2 linked regions of the Drosophila melanogaster genome follow. The gene in region 2 interacts genetically with the main gene of each other region. Each region holds a gene or a part of one and is shown on either strand. Other genes may lie near its edges.

The links. A genetic interaction does not mean that the proteins touch.
Region 1: of SREBP (region 2) and S2P, changing one enhances a phenotype caused by changing the other (phenotypic enhancement), as found in Drosophila melanogaster (one study listed by BioGRID).

What each region holds. Positions count from the first base shown.
Region 1 is NT_033778.4:11,841,603-11,845,897, forward strand, and holds S2P (site-2 protease), read right to left. Parts: upstream 2,639-4,295; 5' UTR 2,352-2,638; coding exon 2,277-2,351; intron 2,226-2,276; coding exon 1,788-2,225; intron 1,721-1,787; coding exon 707-1,720; 3' UTR 501-706; downstream 1-500. Other genes in the region: CG34229 (uncharacterized protein), read left to right, coding at 122-160, 244-477; CG43190 (uncharacterized protein), read left to right, coding at 2,912-3,064, 3,123-3,314.
Region 2 is NT_037436.4:19,792,197-19,799,612, reverse strand, and holds SREBP (sterol regulatory element binding protein), read right to left. Parts: upstream 5,679-7,416; 5' UTR 5,454-5,678; intron 5,390-5,453; exon of another isoform or gene 5,288-5,389; intron 5,050-5,287; 5' UTR 4,914-5,049; intron 4,715-4,913; exon of another isoform or gene 4,712-4,714; 5' UTR 4,704-4,711; coding exon 3,221-4,703; intron 3,161-3,220; coding exon 2,355-3,160; intron 2,286-2,354; coding exon 1,894-2,285; intron 1,834-1,893; coding exon 1,707-1,833; intron 1,653-1,706; exon of another isoform or gene 1,554-1,652; intron 1,481-1,553; coding exon 1,313-1,480; intron 1,240-1,312; coding exon 874-1,239; 3' UTR 634-873; downstream 1-633. Other genes in the region: Ir76a (ionotropic receptor 76a), read right to left, coding at 1-229, 281-335.

The DNA.
Region 1 (4,295 bases), on a different chromosome or scaffold from region 2:
GATTTTTCTTGACTAATTACAAATAATTTTTAAAATGACAGAATAACTTGAAAACTAAAAGAATAACTAATAATAATAATTCAACTAGAAAATATAAAGAAAAAAAAACAATTAAGCAGAAATGTCCAAGTTACCAAAAGCATCACTTAGTTTGAAGCAGGTAAGCAGGTTTAAATCATTTTTATGGTTTTCCAAATATATTAATAAAACTAACAATAATTGAATGAATTGATTACATTGTAGTTTATGCTGCGCCAGGAAGTACTGAAGCTCTACCGGGAAATATTTCGAACGATTCGTCAGGTTCCCGACAAAAACAGCCAGCTGGAGCTAAAATCCTGGGCACGGCATGACTTCCAGACGAATCGCCATCAAAGTGACGAGGTGGCCATCAAGATGCTCCTTCAGCACGGCAGACGCAGCCTCACAGAACTAAGGACCAGCCTCCAACTGAGCGGGGTGAGCGAGGGCAAATAGGATCAGTCTTGAACATAAATCTTAGCTTAATTTGATTTTATTTTTGAGCTCGACAACCGTACGAAAATAAATACGAGTTAAGACTAAGGACTATGACAAAAAGCTATCGAATCTTTGAGGTGCTACAATTCGCTGTGTTTTTGTGTGTTTCGTGAAGGTGAAATAGCAGTCTAGCGTCTTTGCAGGGAGTTGAACTCCCAGGATCCATTTCAGTTTTCCATTTCAGTTCTTAAAGCAGGGGTCGCAGAAAACTCAACCAGGCCACCTTAAGCAGGGCCAGTGCAAAGAGAAGGGAACCCACGCTGGTGATTATCAACGAGATGATATCTCTCTTGGCATGCTGATCCACTCTGCCCACCAAGAAGCTGTGTATCACGGTGCTGGTAATGTGGGCGCCATCGAAACCAAAGCAGGGAATGGCATTGATCAACGCCAATCCTATGCTGAAGACCACGTTATACTTGAGGAGCAGCAGCCAGGCATCCGGCCAGGCTGCCTTTAATAAGCTATATCTCGGCACAAAGGCGGATACCTCCACAGTTCGAGTGACATCCCATGGATGGCCCACATAGATCACCGGCGGCAGCTTCTCTCCGCGAAAATTCTGTCGCTTGAACGTCATTATGGCAGTGATATTTCGTATAAGCGGTCGTAGGCAGAATCCCTCGTTGCAAACTCCGGACGAGCAGTGCTCGGAGACCTCCTCCAAAGTGCGGCGCACATTGAGACATACATGCTGCGGCAGCTCCACCGGCACATCTCCATTTGCGTCCTCCACCACCTCGAAGCAGCTTACGTTCGGATTTAGTTCATCACAGCACTGTAGCTGACCATCAATGCTATGATGTGAGATGGCGCTGCTTTCGTCGTTAAGCTGCACGAAGTCCGCACTCACACAGTAGCCCGGCTTGAGCTTCAGAGAGTTCTGCAGGCATGTCACCCAACTCTCCTCGCTGTTTACTGGGCAGCCGTTTACTTGGGTTATTTGATTGTCCACTTGCAAGCCGCGCTCTCCCCTCAGCGGGGATTTCCTTGTTAGTTCAGTGACCACTACGTGTTGGTTGTAAGCGTACAAAGGTGACATAGTGATTCCCACCGTTGAGATTAAGAGATAGCACACGCCAGCGAACACAAAATTATGCCAGATTCCAGCGCACAGAACACGTAGCTTGCGGAACCAACGTAGACTGTTTAAGTGGTCGTGGGAGAGCTCCGTGTATGCTAACGGCAGGCAGAAGATGAACTGAAATATTAATATTTACCTAATTAGTAAGCGTATTAGGTTGTAAAGTACGCTATATCATTCTAACCTTTATTCCAAACCCGGTGACAGGCACATCCTCCATCACAGCGGCCAGGGCGTGTCCCATCTCGTGCACCACCAAGCAGAGCACAAGGGTTGTGATGTAGTATCCGATCTCCTCCAACGGCAAGTTGACGCCGGGCAGTAGAATTTCCAGCTGCACAGGGACTCCAACGGGCGAGGATACAGACGAAGAGCTGTCTTGTTCACCACTGCTGAAGATAGTGGCAATGAGCAGGATCAGACCGATCGGGAGCAGAGAAAAGGTGACCAGGACTCCTACATTAAAGCTGGTGATCATTACTCTCCGGGTGCAGCTGTTACCGGCAGATCCCCAGCGTAGGAGGGTCCTGTTAAAGGCACTCGTGTGCCAGTGGAGGCTCATGAAATTTATACTCAGCCCGGTGTTCTTGAGGAAGGCATCGTACGGGTAGTGCATGCAACTCTAAGGGATTACATTAAGTATCTGGACGTACTTTGGCTGGATATACTACACCTTGAAGAAGCGGTCGAAAAAGTAAAGAACGCCATAAAGCGATGCCAGTACTATGAAGAACACGAAGGGATCCATGGCTGGTGAGGTCTCAAGATGTCATTGGTTTGTTGGGATTAGGATGGTGATGCGGATTCTACAGTTGGGGGTCCTCCGGTTGCTGGACGTCACTTGCGAATGCTAGTAGTCCCTACCGGACGGGATTCCTTCCCGAAATCTTACTCCTCTGGTCCCGACTCCTTATACCAGCAATGCTGTGTAGTCCAGACCAGAAATCAGCATTAATCACGTCTGGGAATCTTGTGCGCAAATTAACCTGCGTAAAAAATCGAAATACCAAAAGCTAATCGCAATCGATTGCAGAACTTATCGATGGCCGCTTTATCAATAATACCGATAAGCAAGCTTATTTGGGCGCGAAAGTTTTGAACATTTTCAACTATTCAACGTCAAACAAAGAAAACTGTTGAACAACTCAAAAACAACAATTAAAATTTTTTTATGAAAATGATTTGCTTTCAATATAAAAAAATTCAAAATCCATTGTGTTAAGTGACTTAAAATACATCAAACACATGAGCGAACAGGAATTCTCATATAAGAGACTTTTGCCGACTTGCAGGCTGATCGTCTCCATTATGGCCTGCGTATCCTGTATATCGGGCGTGGCTGCCGGCTATCTTTTCATGACCAGTTTATCAGGTGTCTCTGAAGCGGTAAAGATTGTGTGGACCACCGGATCGGCTCTCTATGCATTATCCTCGCTCCTGTTGATTATTGCAGTTTGGAAGGTTAACCTGAAGCAAAATTAATTGAGGAAATATTCTTAAGAATCCTGTGATTTTGCAGTTCATTAAATGGCTGGCCTATCCATACATGTGCATGCTGCTCATGGCCATTGCCGTCTACACGATGATCCTGCAGTGGCTACTCAAGAACCTACCGGCTGCCGTTTTCTCATCTGTGGCCATCAGCTTTATATTTCTTGGAGTGGCGTTGAACATGACCAAAAGCCTGGAAGAACTACGCACTTCTCTATAGAGCAATGCAAAGTGTTCTCGTTTAGTTTTGGATTTATATTATAAATTTGCCGTGCAGTAATCAAGAGCAACGAATACACCTACTTTGATTAAAATTGAAAAATTATAGGTATATGAAAATCTAGCATGAGAAATTGTAAAGTTACATTTGTTAAATTTGTGTGACTTTAATTCGTAAGGCAATTCGTAATTCATTCATCAGCTGTTTTCAGAAATAAAAGTAGGTGGTTCTGGCAACAGGCGGCCAAAAGAACCTAGCAAAACAAAACGGATGAAAACCAATGGAAAGGAAGAGAGGACCTCTTACTCTTGTTTTTCCTTTTTCCATGCCGAAACTCACCACCACCAAGTTCACCTTAACTGAGTTGGGTTTTCAATGGACCTCCAGAGGACATGAGTATCATCAGTTTAGTCGTGAGCTTGAGCAGCAGCAGAACAGTCGCATCCGCCAAAAAGGGCAACAAACGAAGAGTACTCACGAAAAATAAAAAGGCTTTTGCAAAGGGTTTTCCCAATCAGAGAAAGTGTTCAATAGCTTCAGGCGTATTTTTAACCAATTTAACTCACTGGAAGGATCCAATTCGTTCGATTGTGATTGAGTAAGCTAAGAACAAAGGACTTCAGCTGGAATCTCGCCCCATATCGATTTGTTCCAAAAACTGCATATTCGCCAGCGAGTGAGTGAGAGAGTGCGCTTGTGCCGAAAACGGATACGGAAGGGGGCGACAAGGAAGCGGAAGCGGAAACAGCTGCTGCATAAACAATAGTAACAGGGAATACTGTGTGTCACATCAACGCATCATGACGCCAGAGCAGCAAGGATATTGCCCCTAGGAAAACCCATACAAGTTCCTCAAGGAAGCCCTCAAGAAAAAGCGAACGAAAATCGCAATCGATTCGGAGAACAAACCATCAAGACGAACCCGCAAAGGATTCAGTGCCAAAGGAGCCGTTCCGGCAGAAGCAGCAGTAGCAAGAGAGT
Region 2 (7,416 bases):
CTTTCGATGGCAACAGTCAGTCTAAGAGTCCAATCGTTGTAGGGGATTCCCTTCCCCTCGAACTCATCCTCCTTTATTTTGTAATCATAAACATCTTGATCGGAACGATTGGCCCATCTGTGCCAGTCCATGATTATTAATGGCATTGGATGAACCGTTTCCAGACGAAAATCAAACGCCGGGTGCCAAAAAATACAAGTGGCATGCGAGTCCGCGAAGAACTGCTGAGCTAACTATATTTTTTAAAAGGTTGTCCATGCTGAACAAAAGGACAACATACCAAAAAAACTAAGCACAGTGCTAAAGTAATATGACTCTACCAGCAAGTTTTCCATTTCACAGATTTTTTCCCTTGAAGTGTGCCTGAGGAATTTATATTATTTTCTGTGTGTATTATTATTATACATATACATTCTGTTTTTGTATATATATATATAGTGCTTGGTAGCTCACCCTGTGATGCACCCGACTAACAAAACTCCGCCGACGCAAAATGACCGACGCGAATGGAAGAATATTTCATTTTATATAAGGAAAAAGATTGCATACGCTACTAATACGTTTTCCATGAATTATGTACATATTTAACAAATTAGGAGCATGCACCGGTAACCAATAAAAGGCCTTGTAAATCTGTTAAAATATTTATTGTTATAAATACGTTTAACAAGTACGGTAAATAATAAACAAATAAAATGTCCATATTAAATAATTTTAAAATTACAATCTAAGCATAACCGGGCGTGGAAAACAGAGGAATAGCGTAATTATAAAGACCTAGGCATTTGTAATTCTTTTGAATAGCAAACGGGTATTCATTTGCTGAAAATCCACACCACGTTCGTGCCACTTATTATGTACTTCACTACTATCCTAAGCCTTCACGCTGCCAATGCCGTTGCCCAGCGACTTCATCAGCTGGTAGCACTCCTTGAGCTTTCGCTTGTCGCCCACCTTCTCCAGGGTCTTGGCCGCCTCGGCTAACATGCCAGCACGTTCACCCGGGGAGCTGAGCAGCGCAGGCGGGAGATACTTGCAGGCCACGTACATGGCCGAAGCCCGTTCCCGCTCTCCGCCCACGAAGTTCTGCTGCCGCCGATCCTTGCTGCCGCAGAAGATGGACGAGTGGGCGTTGCGTGATCGCAGACTCCTGTCCAAGAGCTGTTGCGTTGGACACGGTGAGGCTCCAGCCATCAGGCGACAAACTGCCTCGTACAAATATATGCGCGATTGGGCGTTCTGTAATGGCAAAAGTTTACACAAGCTCAGGTTACGGAACAGACATATTGGAAGGGTAAGGATTTGCATATACCGGTATATTCTCCACAATGTTGCGCAACGAGTTCAAATCGGTCTGGAACTTCTCGAGCACTTCACCTGGCACTTGGTAGAAGCCATCGTCCTCCATATTCATGTGTTCCAGTTCCCACAGAGCAGTCCTAGTTTCGAGCAGCCAATCGCAGGTAAGCAACTGGAAAAGCTGCATAGAAGAAATAATGATTAGTGCGCTCTTAAAACTTGGCGACTTTTGCCAGAGACATTCGGCGTTGTATGTGAAATGCACAGAGCTTGCACTGAAGTTGTATTGCCTGAAGCAATTGGGACAGACAATGCGACTACAATGCACCTTCGTGTCATCTCCAGAGGAAGAGTCTGGTGGCACTCAGTCGCCAAAAACTGATTGTTCGGGGTGCACACATTCTTACCAGCTTTATACCCTTGGCGTCGGTGATCCGGTTGACAGTCAAGCACTCTTGGAGCTCCACACTCGACTCATCGCAGAGGATGTTTACCAATTGCTTGAGACTTTTGTCCAGTGCGTTGCCATTGTTTCTGCAAAGGTGTGCGATGATTAGTTTTGTTCTTTTCATTAGTTGTTCTAGTTTTACTCACTTTAGTAAGATCATCTTAGCTCGCAGCACAGCATGCAGCGCCTTGGGCAGATGATCGTTTTCGCCGCACTGTTGCAGCTGCGTGGGCATTTGCTTGATCCTGCCGTACAATTGCTCGGCCAGCGTGTCTTCACCAAGGAGCCAGTGCACTGCGGTCTCCAAAACATCGGCCCACCACACCACGTTTGTATCCCGCTCATCCTCATCAGCCCAGAGAGTGTCCTTAAGGAGGGACGTGTACTTAAGAACATTGCTGACAATGGTGCCGCTGTGCTGCTGTTGCTGCAACTGTTCCGCCTCTCCGCTGACAGAAGATGTGGGCAGGCCTCCCGATTTGTGGCCCGCTCCTACCAGACACTGAATGGCTTTAAACAGCAAATGCTCTCGATATTGCTGATTATTGGAAAAGAAACAATTAGTTTTGAATTGTGTGCGATACACTAGAAATTCAGTCCAACTTACCTTAATGACGTGGGCAGCGGGATCACATGGATTCCTAAGACGTGTGAAGAATCCATCCTGCTCGCCGGAGTCGCTCAGATCGTACGTGAAGACGTGCGTGGCGCAGTAGCGATATCCATAGGCTGTGAATGCCCAACGTAGCTCCTGCGTTTGCTCGGTGGCCCTAGTGAGACCGCACTCTTGACGAGCCCGGCTCATGTAGTATCGGGCGAAGAGCTGTTGCAACCATTTTGGGGCACTGCGCTTCATTCGCAACGCTGTCATTACGTGGATGCAGATGGTCTCGCGCGGTGTCAGTAGATTGTGCGCCACTTCAGCCATGTTGCTTGCGAATAGTGCCATCATAATGCCGTTCATGTCACCGCGGCTTCCATTTCCAGTCAGTTGCAATTGATTCAGTCGGTTGAAGAGCAGGGCCAGTTCGCGTGCAGATGCCAGCGCCTGTTTCCTGCTGGCGGCGTTGCTAAACAGCCCACCGGACCGCCGTGACAGCACCCGACCCAGCCAGAGGCGATGGAAAAGAAAACGAAGGAACTGCCACGTGGTCTGCAAGTAACACTCCAAGCGCGACGCCGGTAGACTTAATCCAAACATATGCAGACAGTTGAGGTAACCGGCGTAGGCCTGAGACGACTGTCCTTGGCTAAAATAGAAGTCAGCCCGCTGCCTGTGCTGGCAGTAGGCGTCCGTTTGCGCGTCCAGCTGCGGATCACCGTAAACCAGCAATTTCACCAAGCATCCAAGCATCAGTGTGAAGTTCAATAGCCATATCCAGGAACTCTGCTGCCAGACAGCAAAACCTTCACCTAAATCAAGGAGAAACCCATTAGCAATATTTAACAACATCTGGATGCTAGGCTAGCTACCTTCCACGTCGTAAGAGAGAATGCGTCTTTGACCGCTCATGTCGCCAAGATCGTCATTACTGTCATAGTGGCCGCGCTGGAGAAAGGTCTTGAAGGGATTGACGGCCAGGATGGCGAACATAAACATGCAGAGTCCGAGGCGAGAGTGGGTGGCCATGCCGCGCATAGAGCTGGGCACCACCAGTGGTTCTTCATTGCTGCTGCTGCTGCCACTGCTACAGCTGGCGGTGGATCCACCATAGGGTGATGGCGGCAACGAGATGTCCGAGTGCATGGGCGAGAGCGAAGGATCCGATTCATCGCTGCGTGGCGGCGTCAGTCCGGCATCCGTGGTAAAGGTCTGCGAGCTCTCGCGGCGCTTCTTGGATGCTCTACCAGGCCGAGTGCCCAGCTGAAGTAAATCCTTCACCTTGGAGCCGTCGCGTGCCATTAGCTCCCTCTGCAGGCGCTGCAACTCTGCCTTCAGATCGTGATTCTGGCGTTGCAGATCCCGAATCTTGTCTATGGATTTCCGCAACACTGCGGACTTGTTCAGCTTGGCCTGCTCTCCCACTACCAAGTTCTTCAACTCGTTAATCTTGTCGTTGATTGAGGTGCGATAGCGCCGCTCGATGGCGTTGTGGGCCGAGCGCTTTACTTCCTTCACCTTGGGTTGAACCCGGTTGATAGGTACCTTGCCCTGGACTTCCATAGCGGCAGGTGACGGAGCCAGTGGTGCCACTCGCACCTTGCTGGCCCGACTACCTGTGCTTGTCGGTGGTGGAGCCACAGGTGGAGATGGGGTTGGACTGGCTACCGTGGGCTGCAAGAGGAAGTACATGGCTTCATCGGAAGTCATTCCGGCCTTAGAGTTGTACGTAATGAAGGGTTGCGGATACGACTGCTGGGGCAAAGGAGCAGAAGCGGGAGCAGGAGTTGCAGCAACGGGCTGCATGACATTGACATTCTGGTTCGCAGACTCCACCGGCGACGTGGGCGGGGACATGGACTGGTAGACAAAGCTACTGCCCAGAGATGGGGGATACACCGCCGTGTTCGGCGGCATCCGCTGGGCGTCCATGTGATGTATGGTGGCTGTTGGTTGGGCGGCCTTCAAAAGGCCCGTCGGCTGTTGCTGGGGACAATTGTAGCTTGTGGCTATGAGGGGATCTGGTTTGTAGACGAGAAGCGGCGACTGTTGTTGCTGCTGATGCAGTTCCTCCTTGATGTGCACTGGCGAAGAGTGCTCGCTTTTCACGTGCGGCTGTTGCTCGACGGATTGCGGCTGCTGATCCACGGACTGCGTCTGCTGGGTATGCGTTCGAGGCTCGTCCAGCAGCATGTTGTACATCTGCGTCGGCGCCAGGTCCATGTCGTTGAGGATGATGTCCAGCATGTCCGAGTGCAGGTCGGCGTCGAACGGTTCGAAGACATCCTCCGCTTTGAACAAATCCATGGACTCGTCCAGCGGAGCGTCTATTAAGTTCATCAGTGTCGTGTCCATTGCGAATGCTGCTGATGAAAGGGACAAAAACGGTTCGTAATTAAATACTGGCGGGCCCACGTATGTGCATATTTATGTATGTATGTTTGTACATTTGAGGATTGTTTATTAAAGTTCTATGCGGCGCAATAACAACAGTGGGACAAGTATGTTGGTGCCGGAAAAAACAAATATTAATATGTTTATAATCACATTAATTCATTTAATTACCCTTTTTCCACAGTGGCCACTTGCAGCTTTAATAACAGATTAAAAGGGGTTTTTATAATTAAATTTGTAATATACGTAACAAAGTTAAAATAAATCTTTTAATTGTACTCAAACCTAAAGTGAATCACAGTCGGACCTGAAAATGGCATATGTGTTAACTTGTTTTTGTTTGTTTGTTGTTTGCTCGTAGTTAAAATAGGAACAAAATATAATATCTTGAGATCATTTTGGCTATATCAAGTTTTGCTAGACTAATGCAAATTGCAATAGAGGCGAATATTTTTAAACGGTCTAAGCTTTTACTTCGCTTTTGGCCCACTGTGCACTGCACACACACATACGCGACCGGGAAAGCATGCGTAAGCGCTTTCAACCAATCAGAGGGCTCGACCGGATCATACGATGTTTTTAGTGACGCCACTTGGCCTTTGGGAGCTCCAACAGGGCATTTTCCCAGGCTCCACTGGTTTCCCGATCTGATTTCCGCGAAAATTAATCTATTAGACACTATCTACATTATTAGCAGAAAAAGAAACGCACCTTTACCACCTTCTATCTGTTTTCTTAGTTCACGTGTGCTTTTGTTTTTCCATAACTGGTTAATGTCAACGCACTTTGCTTTAAACTAGCGACTAGTTAGTAATAGTTGCAACACTTGTTGTTCATGGTTGTTTTGATTTTTTTCACGAGTATATTTGCAGCTTAATAAACAATTGCTTTCGATTGCAGTAAACTTTGTTCTTCAGGGATGACGAGCAGTAGTTCGGGCCTAAGGAACTGGTTCAGGTCTTGACTCCCTGGCATCAAGAAACAGCTGTATTACTTACAATGCCTGTATAGAAATATATATATTTAATAGTTTATGATGTATTTTATAAAACTGCCATAAAATATCAACGCTGATTCTGACACGCAGAGTAAGGAAATAAATTCAACATGTATAAGTGTAATTTAAAATATGCGGTTGTCCTCGCTGAGCGTGGTGGATGTCACCGCTACCTACATTCAAGAGAATAATTAAGAGAGCGCCAGAGCCGTGTGACCGCGCTAGAATTACTTAAAAATACCAAGGAATGTTGAAGACAAAAAGTTCCGGTAAATTGGCACAACGCACTGGCCACACTGCTACATCACATATTCAAAATCGGGTAGGTAGTCGCGACGGAAAACGGGAAACGCGGACGAATCGCGGAGCCAGAGAAGCGGTAAATTCGAAATAACCGTTTGGAAAGAGCAACATGATGAGGTTCTTTATTCGTTTTTAGTAAAATGGTACAAAGTGAATATGTGATTTAATTGATAACCAGCATGGGCGCCGTCAGTGTTAATTGCGTTCTGAATTGCTCTTTCGAAAACGCAGACACAAATGCACACACACAAAGTAGCGGCACCCACACGATCGCAATGGCAAAAGTGCTGCAGTGATAAAACAAATGCACAGCCATAAAGGCAAAGTCGGAAAAGTTTCACAATGCACTGGCGGCCCATGCATAAAAATGTACAATTTGGCGCTCTTTGCACTTGTCACGTCGTTGGAAAAGCAAAAAAACCTACCAACCAACAACAATAGGAACATAAACTGAAACAAAAAGAAAACCATTTTTGCTTCGCGCTTTTGTTTTTGTTTGGACCGCCGCTCACGCACTTTCGCGCTCACACGCAGAAACTTTTTGCATTTGTTTTCTTCACCCGTTGCATTATCACAACAACTGATCTCCTCTGCCCTCTCTCTGATGCTCTTGCTCACACTTGTTCGCTCTGTCTCGCCAGGGTTGCCATTTTCGACCGACAAACTTGCACTTGCTACTATGAATAACCTTTAAAACGGTTTTATTTTGGCACAATCTTAGGATTTATTTACGATTTTTGCGATTTACCGCATTTGCTGTCTGCAACAGTTTACATTTTTGTTTACCTTTACGGTCGCCAATTGGAAATACTAACTGCAAATTTGGTTGCCTTAAGTGTAGGTGTATTGTTTTCAATATAGACGAAGCTTATTTATATCAAATGCCTATTATTTAAATTAAACTGAAAACATTCAACCAACGGTCATCAGGAAAAGTATCTTAAGAGGACTATTTCACTACTAAATCCTATTTTTTATATTTCTACTTCACCTTAGCTTATCAAAATCTTTATAAATCCGATTGTATGTATGATGCAGCATAATTTTATTATTCTCGGTAATATATGGATATGCTTCAAATCCAAATATACAGACTTTATTTATTCAATAAATTAGTTTAACCTAATGTTAAACTAAATATAAAATAACTAAAATTAGTTTAACCTAATGTTAAACTAAATATATTACCGAACGCTGTGATTATGACTCTGTTATTTACCAACTGTCTTGCAACTTGGAAATATTCCTGTATTAATCATTTCCTATTTTCCTTGATACAAAAGAGCCTTTATTTCACTGCAATATTGAGTCATCCAACAAGCTGTTGTTGTAGATTTGGTCCGATTTTTCTATTTCTTCTTCTGACTGTTCTCA